2 linked regions of the Cricetulus griseus genome follow. The protein of the gene in region 2 interacts with the protein of the main gene of each other region in a pairwise test. Links are inferred from orthologs where the notes say so. Each region holds a gene or a part of one and is shown on either strand. Other genes may lie near its edges.

The links.
Region 1: the proteins of Lhx4 (region 2) and coiled-coil-helix-coiled-coil-helix domain-containing protein 2 interact in binary tests that used the Homo sapiens proteins (3 or more experiments, as listed by UniProt). The two-hybrid records come from large-scale screens. The link is inferred for Cricetulus griseus from reciprocal best matches to the Homo sapiens genes LHX4 and CHCHD2.

What each region holds. Positions count from the first base shown.
Region 1 is NC_048597.1:109,158,690-109,171,032, forward strand, and holds coiled-coil-helix-coiled-coil-helix domain-containing protein 2, read right to left. Parts: upstream 6,905-12,343; 5' UTR 6,794-6,904; coding exon 6,744-6,793; intron 2,767-6,743; coding exon 2,517-2,766; intron 1,058-2,516; coding exon 910-1,057; intron 355-909; coding exon 344-354; 3' UTR 118-343; downstream 1-117. UniProt on the Homo sapiens protein: Transcription factor. Binds to the oxygen responsive element of COX4I2 and activates its transcription under hypoxia conditions (4% oxygen), as well as normoxia conditions (20% oxygen).
Region 2 is NC_048598.1:36,048,932-36,060,837, forward strand, and holds the end of Lhx4 (LIM/homeobox protein Lhx4), read left to right. Parts: intron 1-811; coding exon 812-1,014; intron 1,015-5,352; coding exon 5,353-5,507; intron 5,508-5,861; coding exon 5,862-6,033; intron 6,034-8,123; coding exon 8,124-8,518; downstream 8,519-11,906. UniProt on the Homo sapiens protein: May play a critical role in the development of respiratory control mechanisms and in the normal growth and maturation of the lung. Binds preferentially to methylated DNA.

The sequences.
Region 1 (12,343 bases), on a different chromosome or scaffold from region 2:
GTGTCCAGCCTTACAAAGGTTGAGAACCACTGGATTAGATGAACCAAAAGACATGCAGATATAGCTGTATTCTTGCACAAACTCGTTATGACCCTACAATAAGGACACTATCACACCTCAGAATCAAACAATTTTATTTTCATTAACTCACAAGAAACAATACAGTTGGTTCAAGGAGGCCATCACTTGCTCAGTCCCCAACACTACAAACTGAGTGAACATACAGTTAGGACTCTCTCATGGCTGAAGTAAAGGAGCTATTAGAAATAAGATTTGTTTACTCAGGGTCCACACTTTCACTATCAATTAGGCAGAGCCCATTTCTTCAGTTTGAACTTCTTGATTAGATTAAACCTGTTAAAAGAAAACATTAAGTTAGAAGATGCCCAGATACACTGTTAGCTTTTCCAAGACATTTACTTATTCCTTTAATCAAACTTCAGTTCTATCTAAGACATGGAACATGTGTTTCTAGAAACAAAGGCCTGAAGCAGAAATATAGCCATTTGGTAGCCAACAAAGAGTTCTAACCATTTTAGACAGGTTCGCTCTCTTCCCCGCTCTCCCACAACCCATAGGGTGGGAAAACAAGAACAAGCATTTTAATTAATAGAGAGTGAACTTCTGAAATTACAAGAGAAACCACAGAAACAATGGGACTGCCAACACTCCAGGAAGTCTAATCAAGAGTTCTGCTTGTCCCAGCCGGTGATGGCCTTTGATCCCAGAACTCAGGAGGCAGAGCCAGGCGGACCTCTGTGAGTTCAAGACCAGCCTTGTCTACAGAGTGAGAGCCAGGAGAACACAGAGAATCCTGTCTTGAAAATCAAAAGTTCTACTTGGGGACTTAACTCCAAAACCCCACAGGGTTCAGGACTATAACTCTGAGCAGATGGACAGATCACCTACCATTTGCAATTCTGCACTGTCGCAACACCTCATTGAAACCCTCGCAAAGCCTGACGTCACTCTGGTTCTGGGCACATTCCAGAAACTGTTTGATCTCAAGAGAGCATGGCCCTCGCTGCTGGTCCAGCAGCTGGGTTCCCTGGGGCTCCTGCCAAGACATAATATTAGGTAGTACTGAGAAAGTTGCTTAGTACACACAAGGCTCTGGACTTGATGTTAACACTGTAAACACACACACACATACAAACACGCACGCGGCTAGGGATTCAACAATAAGATTGTGTGCTTTGGCTTGGGTTTGAACCCCAACACTACAAATATAGAAAAAGGAGAACCATTCCTTTTTTTTTTTTTTTTTTAAAGATTTTATTTATTTAGTATACAGTTTTCTGCCCACATGCCAGCAGAGGGTACCAGATCTCATTCAATGTGGTTGTGAGCCACCATGTGGTTGCTGGGAATTGAACTCAGGACCTCTGGAAGAACAGTCAGTGCTCTTAACCGCTGAGCCATCTCTCCAGCCCAAGGAGAACCATTCTTAAGGAAAAATAGGACTATTATTGGAAAGAGATGGATGAGAACTTCAGATACACCACATTTCAAGAGTACATGATCCTTAGCACATTCAAAATGCAAACACCCCAGGGAGAGGGGGAGGGGGAAAAATATCAGGTCAAAAGCTGTGAAAGGGACTTGTGATTATGTAACAGACTGAACTGAAAGGCCAGGCCTCATGGCTGTAACTCCCCAACACTTGAGAAACCAAACAAGGAGACTGCTACAAGCTTGAAGTCAGCTTGGGTCACACACTGAAGACTTAGTCTCCAAGCGAAACAACAGAAACCAACAGTATAGCCAAGATAAAGCCAAGGCAGGGGGTTGGAGGGATGGCTCAGAAGTTAAGAGCATTGGCTGCTCTTCCCGAGTTCCCAGCAACCAAATGGTGGCTCACAACCATGTATGAGATCCGGTGCCCCCTTCTGGCCTGCAGATATACATGCTGGCAGAAGACTGTATACATAATAAAAAAGGGCCATTTTACAGAAGTTGGGCTGGACGGTTATGTTTCCAGTCTGTTCTATTTATTGATGCTTGTCTATTTATTGATGCTTGTCTAAAGGTTTAACTTAAGTCATGCTATGTGGCTTTTTGATGTGATGCTCAAACATGAGCATTTGGGTGGGTGTGCCCCAAAGAGAGGCAACCAAGACATGGGGTGTCTTTCCTCTACCACTCTCTATCCTATTGCCTTGAGACAGGGCCTCTCACTGAAACAGGTCATTTCACCACAACTGCCAGCCAGCCAAGTTGAGGGGATCTGCTTGTCTCCCCTACACAGTGCAGGAGTTACAGAATATGTATGGCTAGGCCTGACTTTTTGTGGTTCATGGGTTTTGAACTCAGGTCCACATGGCTTCAGAATTAGGTGCTTATTCACTGAACCATACCTCCAGCAATCCCCACTTAAGAAAAGGAAGGAGGGAGGCACACCACTTTGTACTTGAAGAGTTGTGGATCCTAAAACCAAACACGGGCTCCTACATACAAGTTGCCCAGTGTTCTCAGAAAATAGAAACACAGAAAGGAAGAGCTGCCCCAACTCTTACCTGGTAAGTGATGTCAGGTCTTGCAGGCTCAGCACTGCCACCCCCACTGAAGCCCCCAGTGATGGCATGACCCAGGGTGTGACCCACCGCAGAGCCCACAGCCACACCAGCTGCAGTGGTTGCCATCTGGGCCATCAGGCCTGGCTGCCTGGGTGCAGCAGCAGGGGAGCCAACTGCAGATGGTGCAGCTGCTGCTGGAGGCTGAGCTGCAGGTGCATGTCTAGGAGCAGCCCTCATCTGAGGGGCCCGGCTAGGAAAGAAAAGAACAAAACTCATCAGATCCCAGTTCCAAATGGCTTTGGAATTTACTGAAGAAATGCGGCAAGCCAGGTTTGGTGGCACAAGCCTGTAATGCCAGCACTGGGATGGCAGACACAGGAAGAATCAATAGGCCAAAGCCATCCTCAGCTACAGTGATTTCTTCCTCTTCACTAATGTTTCTCAGAGTATAATCATTGCAGCATTTCTGCCCTCCCTTCCCTCCTGGCTCCAACCCCCTCCCATAGATCCCTCCTTGATTGATTTCAAATTCATGGCCTCTTTTTTTATTAGCTGTTACTAGATGCATATATGTGTATACATACACATTCCTACATAGAACCTCAGTCTGTATGTTACTTGTATGTATGTGTTCAGGGCTGACCTCTTGGTATTGGATAACTAAATGGGTGTGCTCTCTCTGGGGAAGACTATCTCTCTTGCCTTTCAGTATTCTTTAGTTGCTTGTAGTTCCTCATGTAGGTTGAGGCCTTGTGAGCTTTTTATCATACATATACTTTGGCATATCTACTGTCATCCTCATTCTACATTGTGACTTTAAGGCCAGTCTGAGAAAAGATACCCTCTCCTAAAAAAACAAAAACCAACCAACCATAAAAACCACAGCTAGCTCTGAACCTATGAATCCTATATCAGCCTCATCCAGTGCTGGGATTAGAAGCATTTGTCACTCTGACTTGGCTTCATTTTAAATCTCTTATTTTACTGTTGTATTTTATAATTGTTTACATGCAACTATGTCTTTGTACTATTTGCATGCCAGAAGAGGGCTCTGGATCACCTGGACCTGGTTTTGAGGGGCCCATGTTGGTGTTGAGTATCAAACGCAGGTCCTCAGGAAGATCATCAGTCAGTACTCTTAACTATAAAGCAAACTTTCTAGCCCCATTTTAAATCATCTTTTTGTATGTGTGTGTGTTTGTTGACAGAGTTTGTTTGTGTGGTCCTGGCAGTCCTGAACACACTTTATCTTACAAGGCTGGAATAAAGGTGTGTGCCACAACTGCCTTTAAATATATATACCACCCACCAGCAAGAAGACTATAGAAACTTGTTTTCACTAACTGATTATACATATATAGCACTGTACCTCTTCAATCTTCTGTTAAGCGCCCCCACCCCTCCCACAAAATAGTTTCTTTGTGTATTCTTGATTGTTCTAGAACTAGCTCTGTACACCAGGCTAGCCTTAAACTCACAAAGATCAACCTGCCTCTTCCTCCTGAGAGATGGGATCAAAAGTGTGCCCACCAACCTTGCTAAAGTTTTAACAACCAAGTATAACTATTTTGTCCCTTTAAAAAAAACTGTTTTCATGTATCCACATGGCCCACAGTATCTTTAAAGAACAGTTATTCCAATACTCCATAAAATCATCAGCTATTGAGCTGGAGAGATGGCTCAGAGGCTAAGAGCACTGGTTGCTCTTCCAGGGGTCCTGAGTTCAATTCCCAACAACCACATGGTGGCTTGCAACCATCTATAATGAGATCTGGTGCCCTCTTCTGGCCTGTAAGCAGACATGCAGGCAGAACACTGTATACATAAGTAAATAATTAAAAAAAAAAATCTTATCGTACTCTTCTGCCGTGCAGGCATACATGCAGGCAGATCACTGTATACTAAGTAAATAAAATCAGCTATTAAGTTGAAAAGGTAGAGAAATGCTCAACAGTAAAGACTGCATACTGCTCTTAGCCCATGGTGAATCTCAGCTCCAGGCCACCTGACACCTCTGGCCTCCCAAGGCTCACAAACCCACCTCTCAAAAAATGGTAACAACAACAAAAACAAACAAAAAGATTGGGAACTCAACCAGGTATGGTGGCACACGCCTTTAATTCCAACACTCCAGAGGCAGAGGCTGGCAGATTTCTGAGTTTTAGGCCATCTTGGTCTACAAAGTGAGTTCCAGGACAGCAAGGGCTACATAGAGAAACTCTATTGCGGGTGAGGGGATATGATTAGAGCTTGGGGAGTTCATGCTTGGGGAGCTCACTGGTGAAAGGTGTTTGCTGCCAAGCCTGAAAACCTGAGTTAGAATCCTGGAATCCACAAGGATGTTTACTTCCCACAAACTGCCCTCTGACCTTCACACAGGTATACAGACATAAAACAATTTAGAGCTTGGATTAGCAGAGCATTTTCTGGGCAGGCATGGGACTCTGGGTTGACTAAACTAGAAAGAAAATATACAGAAGGCATTGGCTTGGCAAAATATACCTGTAGTCCCAGCTATTCAGTGTGTGTGTGTGTGGGGGGGCAAGATCATTTAGCACATGGCTTTGGGACCAGCTTGCACAATGTAACGATAAAAAAGTCAACAAAATCCAAAAAACAGTCATGAGGTAATGCTCAGAATGTACACCAAGACCTTCACTTTACCAATCACAAAAGGTTAAGGCAGCTGGGTATGGTGTGGTGGCCCACTCCCTTTAATCCCAACATTCAGGGGGCAGGAGCAGGTGAATGGATCTGAGTTCCAGGACAGCCAGGGTCACAGTGAAGCCCTGTATTAAAGAAACAAAACAAAGCACCAATCCAAACCAAAAAGAAAAACTTAGGGACAATGACCTGTCTGAACTGCAACTTTTTTAGCTCTTGTAGACTGGTCTCGAACTCAGAAATCCACCTGCCTCTACCTCCCGAGTGCTGGGATTAAAGGCATGCACCACCAACGCTCGGCTCTGAACTGCAACTTTTACTAATCTTATTTCTCGTTTAGTTTTTCCGAGCCTGGGTCTCTCTATAGATAGCACCACTGCTATCTTGAACTGGTGCCTACCCTTGCCTTTAGGGAGACAGGAGCATGGAGAGCTATCTTGGGGATAGATGGGGCATCTCTTACCATATACAGTCCTCAGCCTCCCTCCCATTACAGAAACAATCTTTAACTTTCTACAATTATATTCCCCAAAACGAAACATCTGGGGTTTTTTTGTCTAGTTTTGTTTTCCGAGACAGGGTTTCTCTGTGTAGCTTTGGAGACTATCCTGGCACTTGATCTGTAGATCAGGCTGGCCTCGAACTCAGAGACCTGCCTGCGTCTGCCTCCCGAGTGCTGGGATTAAAGGCGTGCACACCAATACTTGACCAAAAAGAAACATCTGTATTCCAGGCGCTGTCAACAATTTCTACTTATCTACCCACTTCCTGTGGGCCGAGGAGATCTCTCAATAATGTTTGCAACTAAGTGTTAAGATATTCTGGACCAAAGTGGTGGAAGGAAAGGGCCTATACACAGGTATTTAATTTTCTTGTAGACACCTTTAAAGCCTGTAATCCCAGCCGTAGGGAAGCGGAGTCAGGAAAATCAAGGCAGACTAGCAAGGCCTATCAAGTTCAAGGTTAGCCGGAGGACCTCACACACACAGTAAAAGAAAACCACCCCAGGCAGGCAGTGGTGGCGTACGCCTTTAGTTCCAGCATTCGGAAGCCAGAGGCGGCTGGATCTCTGAGTTTGAGGCCAGCCTGGTCTACAGAGCGAGTTCCAGGACAGCCAGGCCTGCCTACACAGAGAAACACTGTCTCGAAAAAAGAGAGAGAGAGAGAGAGAGAGAGAGAGAGAGACGAGAGAGAGAGAGAGAGAGAGAGAGAGAGAGAGAGAGAGAGAGAGAGGAGAGAGGAGAGAGAGAGAGAGAGGAGAAACAAAATTAATAAGAAAACCACCTCTAGACCTCCACATAAATCATTCTTCCTCCGCCTCTTCGTAGACTATGTCCTCTAAGGCCCTTCCCCCCAAGCAGTGGAGGAGAAAGTTCACGCTTTAGCGTCCTCTGCCGTAGCGCACCGAGGGTGTCCCTGTTCCCGGGGAGCCCTCTTCCCCAGGAGCGGGTCCCTTCCTCATTGCTCGCCCTGTCTCACCACCCGCCGCCTTCGCAGCTCTCTGGCTACGCAACGTCACCCTGGCCGCCCGCTCTCAGTCCCCAACCCCGAGGAGGGTCTCACCTGGCCGGAGGGGCCACCCGGGAAGAGCGGCTTCGGCTTCCACGCGGCATCCTGGGTGATCAGACAAGCAGAGTCCAAAGACGAGAAACTGCGAAACACCCACGAGCGTCCAGCAACTTCTACCAAGGAGAACGGAAGGCGGGAGGCGGGTTCTCAAAGGGCAGCCAATCAGCGCTCAAGAGAGCACGAGCGCTGAAGGTCATTGGGAGATGAAGACATCCGTAACGGCGAACGCCCTGGTGCCGCGCCCTACGCCGGGAAGTCTAGAGCTTGGCGACCAGGCCCCGTAGCTAGCCGGAAGTTCATGGGGTTGCGCTCTCAAATCTTGTCCCCCGATTCTGTGCTTCATTGCTAGGTTTTTGCTTCCAAGGGACGACCTGCTTCCCCAACAACTCATGCTTGATTTTAAGATCCACCTGCCTCCGCCTCTCAAGTAAACTGGATTGGGGGATTACAGGCATATGCCGCCATGATTACTGAGTTAACAAGGTTAAATGCAACCTTGACTGAGTCATCTCTGCCTTGTCTACCAGAGGGCCTTGGGCTGTTTTTTTAACCCTTCTCAGATTGTTTTGTTTTGCGACAAGGTTTCACATAACGGGTGTTGGCCCGAACTCGCTGTTCTCACGACTCAGTTTCCTAGTGCTGGCGCTGCAGGAGAAACTCATACTAAAATTGATGTTGTAAAGGATTTACTAATAAACTTGCTTAGAAATATTAAGTTAAACAAAGTAGAATTTAGCCCGGCGTTGGCGGATCTCTATGAGTTCGAGACCAGCATGGTCTCCAGAGCGAGTTTCCAGGACAGTCTCCAAACCTACAGAGAAACCCTGTCTCGAAAAACCAAACCAAACCAAAACCAAAACAAAGTAGAATTTAGCTAAAGGAGCGCTGCCTCCGGTATAACTGGAAGACAGTGTACTAACCAGGCTTATTAGAAACTGTGGGGAAGGGGTTGGAGAGATGGCTGCTCTTCCATAGAAGCCGGGTTCAATTCCCAGAACCCACATGGCAGCTCACAACTTGTCTGTAATCCTAGTTCCAGGGGACCCGACACCCAGGGCAAATCATCAATGTGTACAAAATAAAAATGAATAAACTTAAAACAAAGAGAAAGAAACTGTGGTGAAGAAAATTCTGTACCTTCATTGAAGTTTCAGGTGGCCAAGAAAGTTTCTGATAATGTTTAGTCAACAAGGTTGACCTCCAATTAGGTGCCATTCCCATAATAAAAGGAGGCCACCCTGGCTCAAAACTAGCTGTGAGATCCATTCCCATATCTAAGAACATGACTTTAAAGAAATGGTTCTTGGGGCTGGAGAGATGGCTCCGAGGTTAAGAGCACTTACTGCTCTTCCAGAGGTCCCGAGTTCAATTCCCAGCAACATGGTTGCTGGCTCACAACCATCTGGTGATCTGGTGCCCTCTTCTGGTGTGCAGATACACATGGAAGCAGAATGTTGTATACATAATAAATAAATAAAATCTTAAAAAAAAAACAAAAAGAAATGGTTCTCTCTCTCTGTCCTACTCTGTTCTTCCATTTCTCGGTCTCCCGTCGTAATAAACTCTATGATTAATATACTCTTTATGCTCTCCATGGTTCATGTTCCATAGAGTGTGCTTTTAATCAGAAATATAACATTTGGTGCCGAAACCCGGGAAAGCTAGTGAGAGAGAAATAGAAGAACATAACAGGACAGAGAGTGAGGAAGAGAGAGTGGCAGAGAGAGAGGAGAGAGAGAGAGAGAGAGAGAGAGAGAGAGAAGAGAGAAGAGGGGCAGAAAGAGCATAAATGGGCAGGGGTCTGTCTTTTAAAGAGGTCCTCTACACCTGCCTACAGACTTAATTCCCATGGAACGCTGGGCTGACCAGGGTACTGCCTGAGTGGATTCTGCCAGGTTAACAGGGGCAGGCCAGCATAATGCCTGAACCTTTCAATCCCACCTTTACTAGAAACCCTATCTCAAAAGACAAAAAAAAAAAAAAGAATACGGTGGAGTGGCTGGAGAGATAGTTCTCAGTTAGGAACATGCATTGTGCTTGGAGAGGACCCAAGAGTTCCTGTAGACCAGGCTGGCCTTGAACTCAGAGATTCACCTGCCTCTGCCTCCCGAGTGCTTGGAATAAAGGCACTAGTCACCACGCCCAGCTTTATAATTTAAAATTTTTTAAATACTAAAAATACAATGTGGAGAAGCAAGTGAGGAAGATAGCACACATGAATACACCAGCACACTCATGCATACATCACATATGCCCAATAAACAAACTGAAGTAGGGTTGCCACCACACTGGAGAAGCTACTCCTACACAAAGAAGGATGGCTGGGCTGTCAGTTGCTCAACAATGTGATAGTCTGTTGCATTATCTATTTTAAGTGAGTGTTTAACAATGTTGTAAGGATGTCTGTGAGATGCAGGGGTTTGCTGCCAAGGCTGAGGACTTGAGTTCAATCCCCTGAGAGGCATAGAAGCAAAGAATCCATCAATGTAGGTTGTCCTCTGACTTCCAAAAGGAAAAGAGGTGGATTGTAACTGAACATATCTCATTAACAATTATGCTCCAGTTTGCCTTAGAACTTGATACTATCTTTTAACTGGGGGAATAGAAGGTACACTTGTAACAGGAAATACTTTAATATTACTTTGTAAGACTAGGGACTGTTGCCAGCCCCCAGGTCCTATTGTTTGGCTGAAGGAAGGAAAACAATTCGACAGTTCATTCTTATCCAAATGGAAGGAGGGCAACTGGAATGGACTAATTTGACTGACCAGTCCCAATGTAACAATACAGACTTGAGCATAATTAAATATTTTAACAAAATCTAATAATAGAAACTACAAACGTATTAAGATGAAAAAGAGAAAACAGACTCCTTAGTAGATTCGATCAAAATTAACATGTCACTGTCTACAGCTAATAGATAGGATGCCAGTTTTTGGCTCCACATAGCGTCAAATAGCAGACAGACAAGTTCCTTTTAATTCTTCAATTCCTGGGCTCTTGGGAAAAAACTAACATGTTGAATAGGAGTCACATATAAACATTATGACATCATGCCAATTTAACAGGGGACTCCATAGAACATGCCCCTGTAAACATTTCCAAGGCTATATTGTACTGATATATGCCTCCCACGCAATGCTACTTCCAATCATGTGCTCCCCTAGGGAAAACAATTACACCCGTGATGAATTTTTTTTCTGTGAGACTAACACTTATTCTGTCCTCCCCAGAGGTTATAAAAGGGCATGTATGGGTGAGGGTGCATCACACCTATTTTATTCAGTAAGTCTCTACAACCGTTAATAGAATTATGAAGTCAGGGAACTGAGAATTGTGCTGACTCGCTACATCTGCTAGACCCCACCTCAATAGCAGTCGAAGCTGCCTTTGTATTCCCTGTGCCTGGATTGGTTGTGGGGGTGTAAAAGGGGATTTCTAAAGTAGCCTGCTAAATAGCTAAAACTACTAATAGTACAGCAAAGATACTGGCAAAAATTAATCACAAAATGGGAGAGTTAAGAATGACAGTCTTACAAAATAGAGCTATCATAGAGGTTCTGCTCAGACATAATCTTAGATATCAACAATTCCCTGGAATGTGTTGTTACAATGTATCATATTTCTCCCACACTATTAATAACCAAAGCAATGACTTACATAGAGAAATAAAATCTGCAAGGCACAGGTTGATTGGCATCTCAAGGCAGAGATGGTTCTTCCCCTTCATCAGACCCTTGATAGCTCTCTCATTAATCATAATATTTGGGCACTGTTTTTCAATGTATTTCTAGCCTTATCACACGAAAGATATTCAATGCCAGAATCCTGTTTACCCGACAACATCAGGCACCGCTGCTACCTTGTCAAAGATTTGGAAGGGTTACACAGGCCAAGGGGGGCATGGGAGTATATGTGAGGCAAAACAGGAGCAATATACCTTGCAAATCAAAGGGCCCATTATGTTAATCCCCTAAACTTTACAAAAATAGGTTTCTATTTAAGAGTAAGGCTGCTTCTTAAATCTAATGTGTGACCCATTAACAAGATGTACATACTCGTCTTCCTCTTTCATTGTATTTTTCTAACAATCTCTAACAGCCAATTGTCTCCCCTCTGTAACTACACAGCTTTTTTCTACTAATCTTTATCTCTCCCCGATAAAAGGAACCTCAACAGTCCAGTGCTTTTTAAATGCCAACTTAGTGCGAGACAGGCCAGTCCGGGTGTACCTCTAAATCGTAGCTTACTTTGAGTAGACAATCATGGATATTTAGTCTTTCTCCTCCCAAGTTTCAGGTTTAATACTTGTTAATACAGTAGGCATGATGGCACATGCCTGTAATGCCCCAATCCATTTTACTTGAGAGGCTGAGGCAGGATGATATCAAAATCAAGGACATCCTGGGTTATGGAGGAAGCCAGTTGTCTATTGGAAGCAAAAACTTAACCATCCCTCACAGAATCGAAGAACAAGCTTTGACAGAGCAATCCCAAGAACTTCCGGTTGGACACAGCGCCCCGTCGCCAAGCAACTTCCCAGCGTCAGACGCAGCCCCTACTGATTACTGACGTCTTGGTCTTCTAATGACCTTCAGAGCCCGGGCTCTCCTGGACCCCGATTGGCTATGCGCTGACACCCCGCCTCCCACCTTCCTTTCTTTGCTGGACGCTCGTGGGCGTTTCAGAGTTTGTTTTGTTTGGAAGCTGACTATAATAGCACCCAGGATGCCGCGTGGAAGCCGAAGCCGCTCTTCCCGGGTGTCCACTCCGGGCAGGTGAGACCCTCCTCTGGGCTGGGAACTGAGCGCGGGCGGCCAGGGCGATGTTCCGTAGCCAGAGGGCGGTGGGTGGTGAGACAGTGCGAGCAGTCGGGAAGGGATCCGCTCCTGGGGAAGAGGGCTCCCCGGGAACCGGGACACGCTCTGTGCACTACCGCATAGGACCCTAAAGCGTGAACTTATTCCTAAACTGCTTAGGAGGAAGAGCCTTAGAGGACATAGTCTACAAAGAAGCGGGGAAAGAATGATATGTGAAGGTCTTGAGGTGCTTTTGTCTTACTGTGTTTTTGAGCCCCTCAGACTAGCCTTGAACTTGATATATAGGTCTGGCTAGTCTTCCTTGAGTTTCCTGACTCCGCTTCCCTACGGCTGGGATTACAAGCTTTAAAGGTCTGTACAAAGGGAAAATTATTTATTTATTTGTTTGTTTAATGGTTTTTTGAGGCAGGGTTTCTCTGTGTAGCTTTGTAGACCAGGCTGACTTCGAACTCACAGAGATCCACCTGCCTCTGCCTCCCTAGTGCTGGGATTAAAGGCATGCACCACCACCGCCCAGGTGTTTGAAGATTTAAAATGAGGCTGGAAAATTGGGTTTATAGTTCACAGCACTTGCCGCTCTTTCAGAGGACACAGGTTTGATTCCCAGCATCCACATGGCTCCTCAAAACCATCTGTAACTCCAGATCCAGGTGATCTAACACCCTCTCTGGTGTGCAAGTGGCACAAAGACACAGATGCATGTAAACAGTCATACACATAAAATATAACACAATAAAATAAATCTAAAATGAAGCCAGGCGGATGACAAAGGCT
Region 2 (11,906 bases):
TTGCTAGCCCTGGTAAAGGGTGGCAGTGGTTGATTTCCTCTTGCCTTGGTGCCAGTCCAAAAAGGGCTACAGTAGACAGCTGTTGAAAGCAGACTTTTCCAAAGTGACATCCACAGATTCCTTACTGGAGAATATAGTAAGGGATGCCACAGAGAGTGTGGCTTCCTGGGCCTTCCTGGGACAGTGCCATCCCAGGCTGCATGGGGAGCTTTGGGCTTTTCTGTGTGCTCAATACGTGTGTGCGTGTGTTTGGCTGGGGAAGGGGGGGGGGCTCAGAAGGAACAGGAGAAGCCTTCAGGAGAGCCTCACTCTGCTGACAGTGTGTTTTCTCCTTGGGCCACTGTGGATGCGGGCATGTGCTCTCCCCCAGCCGGCCGCACAGGGCCTCCTCCTATGGGAAACTTTGCTGAAGACTGTGCATGCTAGACTGAGCTGCCCACAGCAAACACAGCTCCTGCTGGGCTGGTCTTTTAGGAAGCACCATAAAGATGAGAAAAGGAGGTGAAGAGTGACTTCTTGCTCTGGGGGCCACTTAGAAGCCCTCCCTCTGCCTCTATGCATTGAGAGTGTCCCTGTGTATCCCTAGGATGTCAGTCATGGGATGGGAACTGATGACTTTAGCTCTAATCCAATCCCTTTGCTTTCTGTACTAGTACCCCGGCCACAGAGCAATGAAGCTAGGAGGAGGCCCAGGTACCCTAAGCTTTGGTATTCCTTGGACACTGGAGTGGTGGGGTAGGAGAGGGCTGATAAATGGTAGGCTCTAACCACAACCCCCTTGTTTTTATTTCTTCTACTGCTGTCTTGACAGGCGCTTTGGCACAAAATGTACAGCCTGCCAGCAGGGCATCCCCCCAACCCAGGTGGTCCGCAAGGCCCAGGACTTTGTCTATCACCTGCACTGCTTTGCCTGCATCATCTGCAACCGGCAGCTGGCCACAGGGGATGAGTTCTACCTTATGGAGGATGGGCGGCTAGTGTGCAAGGAAGACTACGAGACAGCCAAGCAAAATGGTAAGCAGCATGGCCCCCGCATGAATTCCTCCAGTGCTTTGCGGGCTGTGCCTGTCTCTCAGTGTCCCTCCTATCCAGCCCTCAGGATGCAGCCAATACTCAAGCTCCTCCGAGAATTGTAGCCAGAGCTCCACAGGTAGAGTTAGTTTTAAGCACCCCCAAGCCCTTAGGCCTTGCTAGCTCTGTGAAGTGTTAATAAAGCCGTAGCTACTGATTTCTGCTGAAGCCCTTATGGGGTAGTGAACTCACCACCTCTGCTTGGAGCATGGCTGGGAAGCTTGGTTGACTGGGGACATTTGAGGTGCACACTTCTTCGTCATCCTATGCTTCACAGGCTGCCATCAGCAAGAGCCACAGGACTTGCAGGGCTGGACTGTTTTCAGTTGTCTCCTGTCTGTCCTCAGGCTGTGGACTCAGGGGAACTGACCTTTGAGTGCCTGAAGCCCTTAAGCTGGAGTGAGTGAGTGAGTGAGTGAGTGAGTGAGTGAGTCAGTCAGTCAGTCAGTCAGTCAGTCAGCCAATCACTGGGAGGGGCCATGTTTAGGGGACTAGACAGTATGATGGCCCTTACCTTACCCCAACGCCACAGCCCATGCCGCAGTGGAAACTTCAAGCGCAGTGCAGACTGATGTCACCCACCCATGTTTCCCAGCCATCCCGGGAACCTGGCCTCAGCTGGGCAGCCTGAGAAGCTTCTGCTTTTGCCCTCCTTGTCATCGCCTCACAGAGAAGAGGCTTTTCTCTCTGCACAAGGCTCAGTGTGTTCCCCATGTGCCACCCAGGAAGGCCAGTCCTGACTCTCACTTTTCTGAAGCAGGCACACTCTCTGCTTCTCAGTCACAGCTCTGGCAGTAGGGCGAGGGCATCATGTCCTGCATCTGTATTCAGAATTTGACCAAACCCAGTCTAGAACTCTTAAGCTACAACTCCCAGAATCAGGGTCTTTGTCCTTGACAAGAACTTTAATCAACTTAGTTATTTCTGAGGACGGCAGCTCTGTTGACGGGTCTGGGCTTGGTGGAAGCAAACATTCAGACAAATCATTTCATGTATTCCTTTCTAGTTCTTTCCTGGGTTCGCTTACCCATGTAACCTGGATCTGATTAATACATGGAGAAATTAGATTTTTTTATGGTGGGGAGCAGGCTGAGGTGGGGGGCCCTGTGATGAGCCAGCTGCTCCAACCTTGGCTTTGGGACAAGGGGCCTCATCTCTCTGGCCTTTACTAGTGGACCAAGGACTAGTAGCCTTTGTCCCACAGGGACCAGAGACCTCTGTATATCCCATCAAAAGCTCTGCCTTGATGAGCTCATGCACTCTACTTTAGTGGTTCTCAACCTACCTAATGCTGCAACCATTTAATACAGTTCCTCATGGTGTGGTGACCCCTACCGTAACAGTTTTTCATTGCTACTTTATAACTGTAATTTTGCTACTGTGATGAATCATAATGTAAATATTTGTGTTTTACAATGGTCTTGGGTGACCCCCCCCAAAGGCTGCCACCCACATGTTGAGAACTACTGCTATTGCTTTGGAATCCACCAGGATGTCACAGAAGGGTGTCAACACAGGTGGACTTAGAGATACCAAGACAATTTAGAACTGGACCCTACAAGACTTTCACCAAAACCACGCCTCTCCTGGGCCTGTGCTGGGTCTTATTTTCAAAGCCCTCATGTTGACCTTTCAAAGACCTCATGTTTAGAGCCCAGAATCTCCTGGTGCTGTGGATAATTCCAGAGAAGAGGGAGACTAGTATTAATGTCAAAGGGAGGCAAGGATGACATTTGCAGCACTTGTCATCTTATGGAAGAAGTTTGTTTTACTGCAGCTTCCTGTAGGACAGTGGAAAGCACTGGTCTTGGCATCCAAGGCTGGGTGGGCAGCTACAGATTTGGAGTTTCTCTGGCAGGTTGAGGAAGCCTTGCCACACTGCTGTTTCCCAAGGTTAACTAGGATGACGCTTATACAAGGGAGTGCTAAATAAGAGCAAGTCCCTAGCGGAGAGAAATGCAGACAGGAGATGAAGTGTGCTAAAGAGTTAGAAGAAGCTGAAGCTATGTGTGCTTGTCCCCTAGGTGTCTCTTGACTCTGTCTGTCCCTTCCATTCTGTGCAATCCTAGAGATCCTTGACACGATAGGGGACATTTGTCTGCTGTAGTATGTTTGGCTGTTGTTAGCTTTCATTCCTTCTTGTTGCTCTAAACCTTCTTCCAAGCTCATAATTAGGGAATTATGAGCTAAACAAAGGGTTTAGTATCAGCTATTTGCACCTTAGTAGGAATGATTTTGCTCATTCATCTTGTCTCCTTCGATATTTTCATTTTCAATATGCTGCATTTTTATGCTAGGGACAAGCTTTAGGAGACACTGTATAATTCAAAATGAACATGTGTTAAGGCTAATTTTCCATGGGAATTAGTGTTACAAGTGTGTGTTGTGGGGGTGTGTTCTGCAGTCACACCAATCCATAACCAAAGTGTATTTCGCCTTAATGTTACTTTTTATTTTCTCAGCATTATCTCCAGTACCATGCTGAACGCTCTCTCCTAAATTAACAGCCCAGGGTGTCATGGGCTTGCTTGGCCTTCCTCATAGTGTTTTTATCACATTTAACTTCCGCACCAAAGTTATTGATTTTTGGGTACATTTTTCAGCGTGAACACTGACACCACTACTTAATGAATACTTGGATGACATTGTTATAGGATATAAAAAAGATTTTAAATTATAATAACAGTGAATGTTAAAATAACAGCATAATAGTTCCCATAATCACATGAAGGAAGTCTGTGCACATGAGCACATGCTGTACCAACCAGCTACCCACCATCGTGACAGGGCACAAAGAAGTAATTTCTGACTCATTTGGTCAATCTGTTCTGAAACTGACTCTCATGATTGGGTTCCCTCCCCTGTCACACACACACACACACACACACACACACACACACACACCATACATACACATACACACACACACACACACTCACACATACAGTAACACACACACACACACACATACACTCATAAATACACATACACACACACACACACCCATACATACACACACACACACACACACACACACACATCCATACATACACATACACACACACACACTCACACATACAGTAACTCACACACACACACATACACTCATACATACACATACATACACACTCACACACGCACTCACATCCTGCCATACACACTGTTTCTTTTGAGTAAGAGCTTCTGATTGTGTTGTCCAGGCTGGCCTCAAACTCTTGGGCTCAAGTGATTCTCCTGCCTCAGCCTCTAGAGTAGCTGGGACTATATAGGCTTACACTACTTTTTCAAGCTGGAAGTTTGTACATAAAGGCCATCTACATATTTTGAAAGCACATCACTTCATATTTATATAATTCGGGTTTGTTTTAAACAGTTACATTGTGAAGTCTATAAATGTGGGCAGAAAGGACCCGGCCCTCACTACCACACTTAAAGTGAAGAGTTTCAATGATCTGCCTAGGGACTCTGTACCCTGCCCCTTGCTGGTCAAATTGGCTGAGAGCAATTCTGAGTTGACGGTAACTCTGAGGAGGGTAGGACACTGAGGCCTTCACCCTTCCTTGTGGGCAACTGCTGAATTTCCAGAGCATGGAGCCCCACATGGGGAATGGTCACCAGATTCACTCACCAGGAAGGCCCAACTCCATGTGTGGACTCCCAGCAAGCATCTCCTAGAACCAGGGACTGAATGCATTCAAGGCTCATAGCAAAGCCGTGCACAGTAGGTACTTAATAAATGTCAGCCAGTGTTGAGGTCCTAAATGAGGGCTTTTTAATTCAAATGGAGAAGTGGGGGAAAGGTAGGCAGGAGAGAAGTTGGGGCCATGTTATGTCCTGCCATCTTTATTCTGGGCTCCCCCCTGATTAAGTGTTGGGAGACAAACTGCCCAGGGTGGGTCAGCTCTGGAGGTGCTCCAGAGGGGAGGAGGCAGGCTGCCTGAGGAAGCTCCAGACAGACTACATTTTGGCTCCTTCCTTTGACTGTAAGCGGAGTATTTCCCATAACAGGGAAATAGGTGAATTATTTGTGCAGCGAACATGATACACTACGGAAACAAGCCTAAGGGGACTTCTTTGTGTTCTGTTTGTGACAGTCCTCTGTGTGGAGAAACTGACCAGGGAGGGGAGATGGGAAGGTGGGTCTTATGAACGGCTGCTCACCAGTGTCAGCATCCCTGACACTGCCTATTTCTCCCCCAGGTTGTCTGGGGTGGGGGAGAAGGCAGAGGAAGCCCAGCTGCTTCAGCTGGGCTAATTCCATTAAGGTGGTTTTCCCTGTAGATGACTCGGAGGCTGGGGCTAAGCGGCCGCGGACCACCATCACAGCAAAGCAGCTGGAAACACTAAAGAACGCATACAAGAACTCCCCGAAGCCTGCCCGGCATGTGAGGGAGCAACTCTCCTCCGAGACAGGCCTGGACATGAGGGTGGTACAGGTGAGACAGCTGTACGGCTTTGCCCCTGACGGATCCAGGCCAGGGCAGGTCTGTGCCCTCCACCTAAGTAAGGGAAGCTTGGGAACGTGAATGACGTCATCTGGTGGGTGGGTGGGACTGAGTCTACAGGCAGGGGAGTTCAGGGCCACCACCCTGGGCATGAGGCTCAGGCTGAGGAGACAACGGGCACCCTGCCCTTTGTTCTGACACACTACCGAAGCTTTGGTCCATTTCCAGTCACTTGCTTGAGGGTTCAGGGGCTTTAGGTACCTCCTAGGTGCTTGCGGTGCGGGGGCGGGGGGGGGCAGGGGTCTTTAGGTAGCCCCTGAATGTGTTCCCTGTGTTTTGTGGCAGGTTTGGTTTCAGAACAGACGGGCCAAGGAGAAAAGGCTGAAGAAGGATGCAGGGCGGCATCGCTGGGGGCAGTTCTACAAGAGCGTCAAGAGGAGCCGGGGAGGCAGCAAGCAGGGGAAGGAGAGCTCGGCAGAGGACTGTGGGGTTAGTGACAGTGAGCTGAGCTTCCAAGGTGAGCAGGGCTGCAGGGGTGAGGCTGAGGCCCTAGGCGAGGCCCTGGGGGACAGTAATCCTTGCCAACAGGAGGGATCTTTCTGATGACACCCTCCTGGGCACAGGGTTTTCCTAGACTTTCAATAAAGGGTGGGAAGGGTGTTAGTGGCCCTTCCAGAAGGGGTGAGGAGTAGAGAGCAAGAGAAAGCCGTTGCTGACATACAGAGGCTGGAGTCCTCCGGACCCAGCCTAGCCCTGTCCTGGCCCTGAGGCCTCCGCCACTTTGCTGTTGGCACACAGTTGTGAACACAGGATGGCCCTGTCTCAGTCTTTGCCCCAGCCCTCCTGCACTTCTCCCCTTTGCAGGGACACTGAGCTCCTCCCACGGCCCCCTAGAGTAAGCCGTTCCTCCAATCCTGGTGGCAGGAGGACATGCTCAACAGGCCTTTTCCTGGGAAATCAATAATGTGAGTGCATGATGGGGAACTGGCTGCGTTTCTGAAACCCCTCCCCCCACCACCCACTCCATCCTGCCCTCCGCACACCAGCTTTGCAGCATGCGCTACGTTCAAACTGTGCATCAGCAAAACTGCAAATTACCGCATGAGTGGATCCTCAGGTTGTTTGCAAATAACCATGACTGCTCTTGCTCACTGAGCCCTCAAATACAGAAGATTCTTTTTTTTTTTTTCCTTTTTTTCTTTTTTTATGGGTGGGGGAGGGAAGGGTCTGGAACTGAGGCTCGGAAACCTGATTTCTAGTGTAGCTGTCAAAGCCATCTGTTTCTCCTGAGCCTCATTCTATACGTGGGGAGAGCCCACATCCTATCCATCTCACAGAGCTGTCATGGGCGTCAGTGAGCACAACCAACTGTGGATGAGCTTGGGGAAAGCTAAGCAGACCTGTGTGTATGAGGACAAATGGGTGGCCTGGTTGTTCCCATGGGAGCCTGTCATAGGGGACAGCAGGTATCAAGGCCAAGTGGAGCTTGCCTGGAGCCAAGTCTAGTCTACACCTTCCTGCTCCCTTTGAGTGACACACGGTCCCCCCTTTTTTATGGTTGTGAGTGGAATGTGGGGATCAGATAGATAGGGTGTGAAGTTAGTGACAGTGGCCTTTTGTAGGAATCAGTGTGTAGGCCCAGGTAGTAAGGGGAAAGGAAGACACTGGAACAAGTTACCATGAGCACAGAGCTGCAAAATCTGACCTCAGCCCAGGGGGGCTGCCGAGCCCAAACTTAGCCTTCTTAGACCCAAGGAGGCCAAGGAGGTTCATGCCCACTTCCCAGGCATCTTGGCAGGATTGGGGAAACCGGTTACTCTCATCTGAGCTGCTCAAATCCATACTGGGAACACAGAAGCACCAATCCTTGTTTTGTGGCTCATTTCCCCTGGGTGTGGGTGGGCCTCTGGGTATAACATGTTCTCTCTGGGTAACACGCGATCTTGTAATTCTTAAGACTAAACCTGCTCACCCCTATTGGAGAGAGAAATTCTCCCAGAAAATTTTATTAGATTCCCCTTAATGAAATTCTTCAAGAAACCAGAAGGTCCATTTGCCTTAATCAAGTCATTCTTTATCCTCAGTAAGTAGGTTATTGGATACAGAAAGAAACTGAGTTCTTTGATACTGAACTGTTTTTAGGTGGATGGGGATTTTATATACAGGCCTCAGAGTGGTTTCCAGCACCTTTATCATACAGACCTGTTTCCCACCCAGCCAGAACAAGTACTTTTCTTGGTTTGAAAGCCTTCATAGTAAACCCTATCGGCAGTTTCCATTTGTAATGCAGTGTGACCCACCAAACCCAGACACGCACACTGTTCAGTGTAACCAGGGGATCTCAGTGCTATTCTAGACCAGTAAGTCCACGAGACACTTCCCAACCCATAGGGCTTGGGGATTTAGGTACAGGCGATCCTTGTTTTCCCTTTGGTCTGGGTTGGTTTCTGGATAGTAGGCTGACATGTTGGTGTCTGACCTGTGCTTGGCAGGGAGGCAACTGCTGCCCGTGGGCATCCTTCCTGGTCATTGTATTGCTGGTTATGAAGAGCAGGGACCACCAGAGTCCTGGCAGCTGACAATATATCTCCGTTCTTTTGTCCACAGAGGATCAGATTCTCTCAGAGCTTGGCCACACCAATAGGATTTATGGCAACGTGGGGGACGTTACAGGCGGACAGTTAATGAATGGGAGCTTCTCCATGGATGGGACAGGACAATCCTATCAGGACTTGAGGGATGGGAGCCCCTATGGGATCCCCCAGTCTCCATCCTCCATATCGTCCCTGCCATCCCATGCCCCTTTGCTCAATGGGCTGGATTACACAGTGGACAGTAATCTGGGCGTCATTGCGCATGCAGGGCAGGGAGTAAGCCAGACACTGAGAGCCATGGCTGGGGGACCCACCTCTGACCTCTCCACAGGAAGCAGTGTAGGCTACCCTGATTTTCCAACTAGCCCAGCCTCCTGGCTCGATGAAATGGACCATCCTCCTTTTTAGACTTTTCTCCCCACTTTATCTGTCCTCCTGGCTTGAGCGAATTCTTCAAGGATCAAAAGAGACTTACCTCTTAAGGATCAAAAGTGCGCCAATGTGAATTTCCATTATTTTCAATGGAAGTCCTCTGCTGTTCTAGAAAGAAGGCTGAGACCACACTAGGACACTGCTTTCTTGGGAGGTGACAGGAGAGCAACCTCATCTCAACCACAGCACAGGGGTGGACAGCCTAGAGCTCTAGGGCCGCTGGCTTGCTGGCTCCCTCTCCTCTCACCTTGCTTCCAGGCTTTGGCTGCTCAGTGCTTTGATAGCACAAGGTGACCGTGAACAGGCCACCTTGGCCTATGGGGACTCTGCCCAGCCTGTGCATCTTACCCTTTGTCACCTAAATCATCACTTTCACCAGAACCAGGATTCCTGAGGGAGAGGCACCATGGCCCTTGAGAATAATAAAATGGTTTCTGGACCACTTTGATTATACCCTCATTTTCAAAGTAAAGTCAGTTATTAAAGGCTAGTTAAAAAAACACCGATGGCCACAGTTTGTTATAAAAAAAAAATATGGCCCCATCCCATTCTGTTTGTTGCGGTGACACTATGACTTTTTTCCTACTTGCAAGTGCAACCCAGAGTGAGTCTGGGTTTAAAAAAAAAAAATATCCCACCTGTATTGCTGAATCCCTGATGGCAAGAAGTGGCTTCCACTGCAAGTGACCCTGAGACGAAAGCCGAGTGTCTCTGGATCTTCTCACACAGTCTATGAGTCCCCTTGGTGCACAGTGCCTTTTAGTTTGCTTATATCATTTCCTCCCCAAGACAGGCTGAGGGCTACAAAATGATCCAAGCTAAACCATGCAGAGACCAGAATGACAATCAGTGAAAACATTCATACACACATTCGAACTCCAAACATGCAGTCTGTTTAGCCACACCGGCAGATGCTAGTCTCCCCGACTTCCCTGGCCTCGTGATGGGGTGGAATGAAATCTGGAACATTCACTGTACTCTGAGAGGGTTGATTTTGATGACTTTGCAAGGCTGTTCTCTCTTGAAATGAAAGCCTCCTCTGCCTTACTAGCTGATTCAGTTGAAAGACAAGGACCAGCCAGGCTTTTTTTTTTGGGGGGGGGGCTTAACTTGGTTTGGAAAATAGCTGGGCTCTCTGGGTTGCTGGCTAGACTTGTGCCATGCTGCAGGCTTCAGTCCTGTGCCCAGAAAGCCCCAGCTCCCTGGCCAGCCACAGTGCAGGGACTCTGCCTCCAGAAGTACTTCACTAAGCCTGCAATAGGAGTGAGGCCAGTCTGGCTCTCAATCTGTCATCTGAGAGAGGCTACTCCTCTGTGGTAGACATGGCTGTGACTGGTGGCAACTGCTACTGCTGTGGCCCACTTCTGGCCACCAGGAAGTGTTCCATGTTCAAAATGGGAAGTTAGCTAGCTGGAATTTATTCTCACCCCCTCAAGAAGCTGGTTCATTTCTTCTGGCCCTGCATTCTTTTAAACAAGATCTGAGGGGTAGGAAAAGATGAGCAGGCATTATGTTTCTTTTACACGAAGTGATGAAACCAAAGGCCCAAGGACCCTCGTTTCTGTCAGTCATGTTTGAGGGACACATTTCCTCTTTGGCTGCTAGCTTCTTTCAAAGCTAAGTTCAATTAAGCTTCCTTAAAGAAACAGTCAGTTCTCTGATCAGTTCTGTAGAAATGCTTTGGTGAGCTGTAGCTGGCCTGGCTTTGCTTTCGAGAGTGCAAACAGACTGCTTTCTTGAGATCTCATGTCTTGATGACATTCACTATTCAGTGCTACTAGAATTTCCCAACAATGTGAATGCTGGGTTAATGATGGAGACACAGATGCAAGATAATATGCCATGTGAAAGAAATGGCAAGCATCAATGTGAAGACCCAATTCCTAAATACCCCATCCTCAGCAGACTGCCCATTAACACACAACGCCAGGCTGGGCAATCTAGCTGGAAAGCTGCTGTAGCTAGGCCACCACCTTAGTTCGACTATTGGTTAGTGTCTCATGGGTTTGTGTTTTTGAACATCCTATATAGCACTATTGAAGACTGACTGAAGTTAATTGGGTTTTGGTTTTGAGGATGAGTTACTCATACTCTCAATTCACTAGTGGGAGAGCAGGAGGCTGTTCTCACACTAACACTGTATCTTGAGGAAGATGGTGAGCATTGCAGTGATGTTGACAGAAGCTTCTTGGGGGGGGCTCCTTTTTGGGGGGTGCACTGAGCTGGAAGGGCTCTTGGGAGAACACTGGGTAGGAGGCTTTCTTTTAAGTTCCTTTCAGAGCCAGCTCTCTAGAGGGCAGCATACTCTAAGTGCCCATTTAGAAGCACAGCCTCAAGTTTTTAGTGGATCTCCCTGCAAGTTCTGTTGCGTTTGGGCTGCTGTCCCAGTGGGCACTGCATGCCAAGACCGTTCTTAGACTTGCCCATGGTTCAAGATGGAGAACTGGATGCTTCCTTGTGAGAAGCCTACAGTAGGATACCAGTACCCTCTGGAAGCGCATTTCCTCCTTGTCCAGGGGCAAAAGTGATTTCAAAACATGAAAAACATGAAGCGTAAACTATTTTTTTTTTCCAAGACAGGGTTTCTCTGTGTAGCTTTTAGAGCCTGTTCTGGAACTTGCTCTTGTAGACCGGGCTGGTCTGGAACTCACAGAGATCTGCCTGCCTCTTCCTTCCTGAGTGCTGGGATTAAATGCGTGCACCACCACCACCTGGCCAAATCGTAAGCTTCTAGAGGCATTTACAATATTTGGGTCCAACTTTGCCTCTAAGAGAACATTTAACTGACACTTATGTTAGAGTGCATCCAGCAGACTTCTGAATTCTAGGGCAAATTTAAAAATTAAGTTAAAAAACAACAAACAAACATCCCTGTTTCCAGTGGCAAGGATGGAAACAGAGTGATTCTGTATTTGTGGGAAAGTGATAAAGCTACGGGAACGTCCAACCCAAGGGCTGCTGACCAGCTGGGCAGAACCTCTTCGTGAAGTACTGTGGACACAGGCGCATTTCTCTCCTGACAGATCACCGGTCTTGCCTCTTCTACTAGTGTAAGGGGAACATTAGCGACCATATTGAGAAAATTGTTCCTGAAAATTAATACAGTGAAACCACAGGGAAAGAAACAAAATTAAGACCTAGGAAAAGCACTGGGTAGTGGCCTGAAAGGTATCTTGTGCTGTCATAAAACATAAAATCTAGTAAGATAATTGAGGGCTGTTAGCACTTCATTAAGGGCATGTAAAAAAATCTGTAGAACAAAATCTGAAGCTCCCAGCTGGTGGCTGAGGGGCCTCTTGGCAGGAAGGTTTCAAGGCTTCTGAACTGTGTGTTGTATGACAGCCCACCATCCTGCATCCTCACA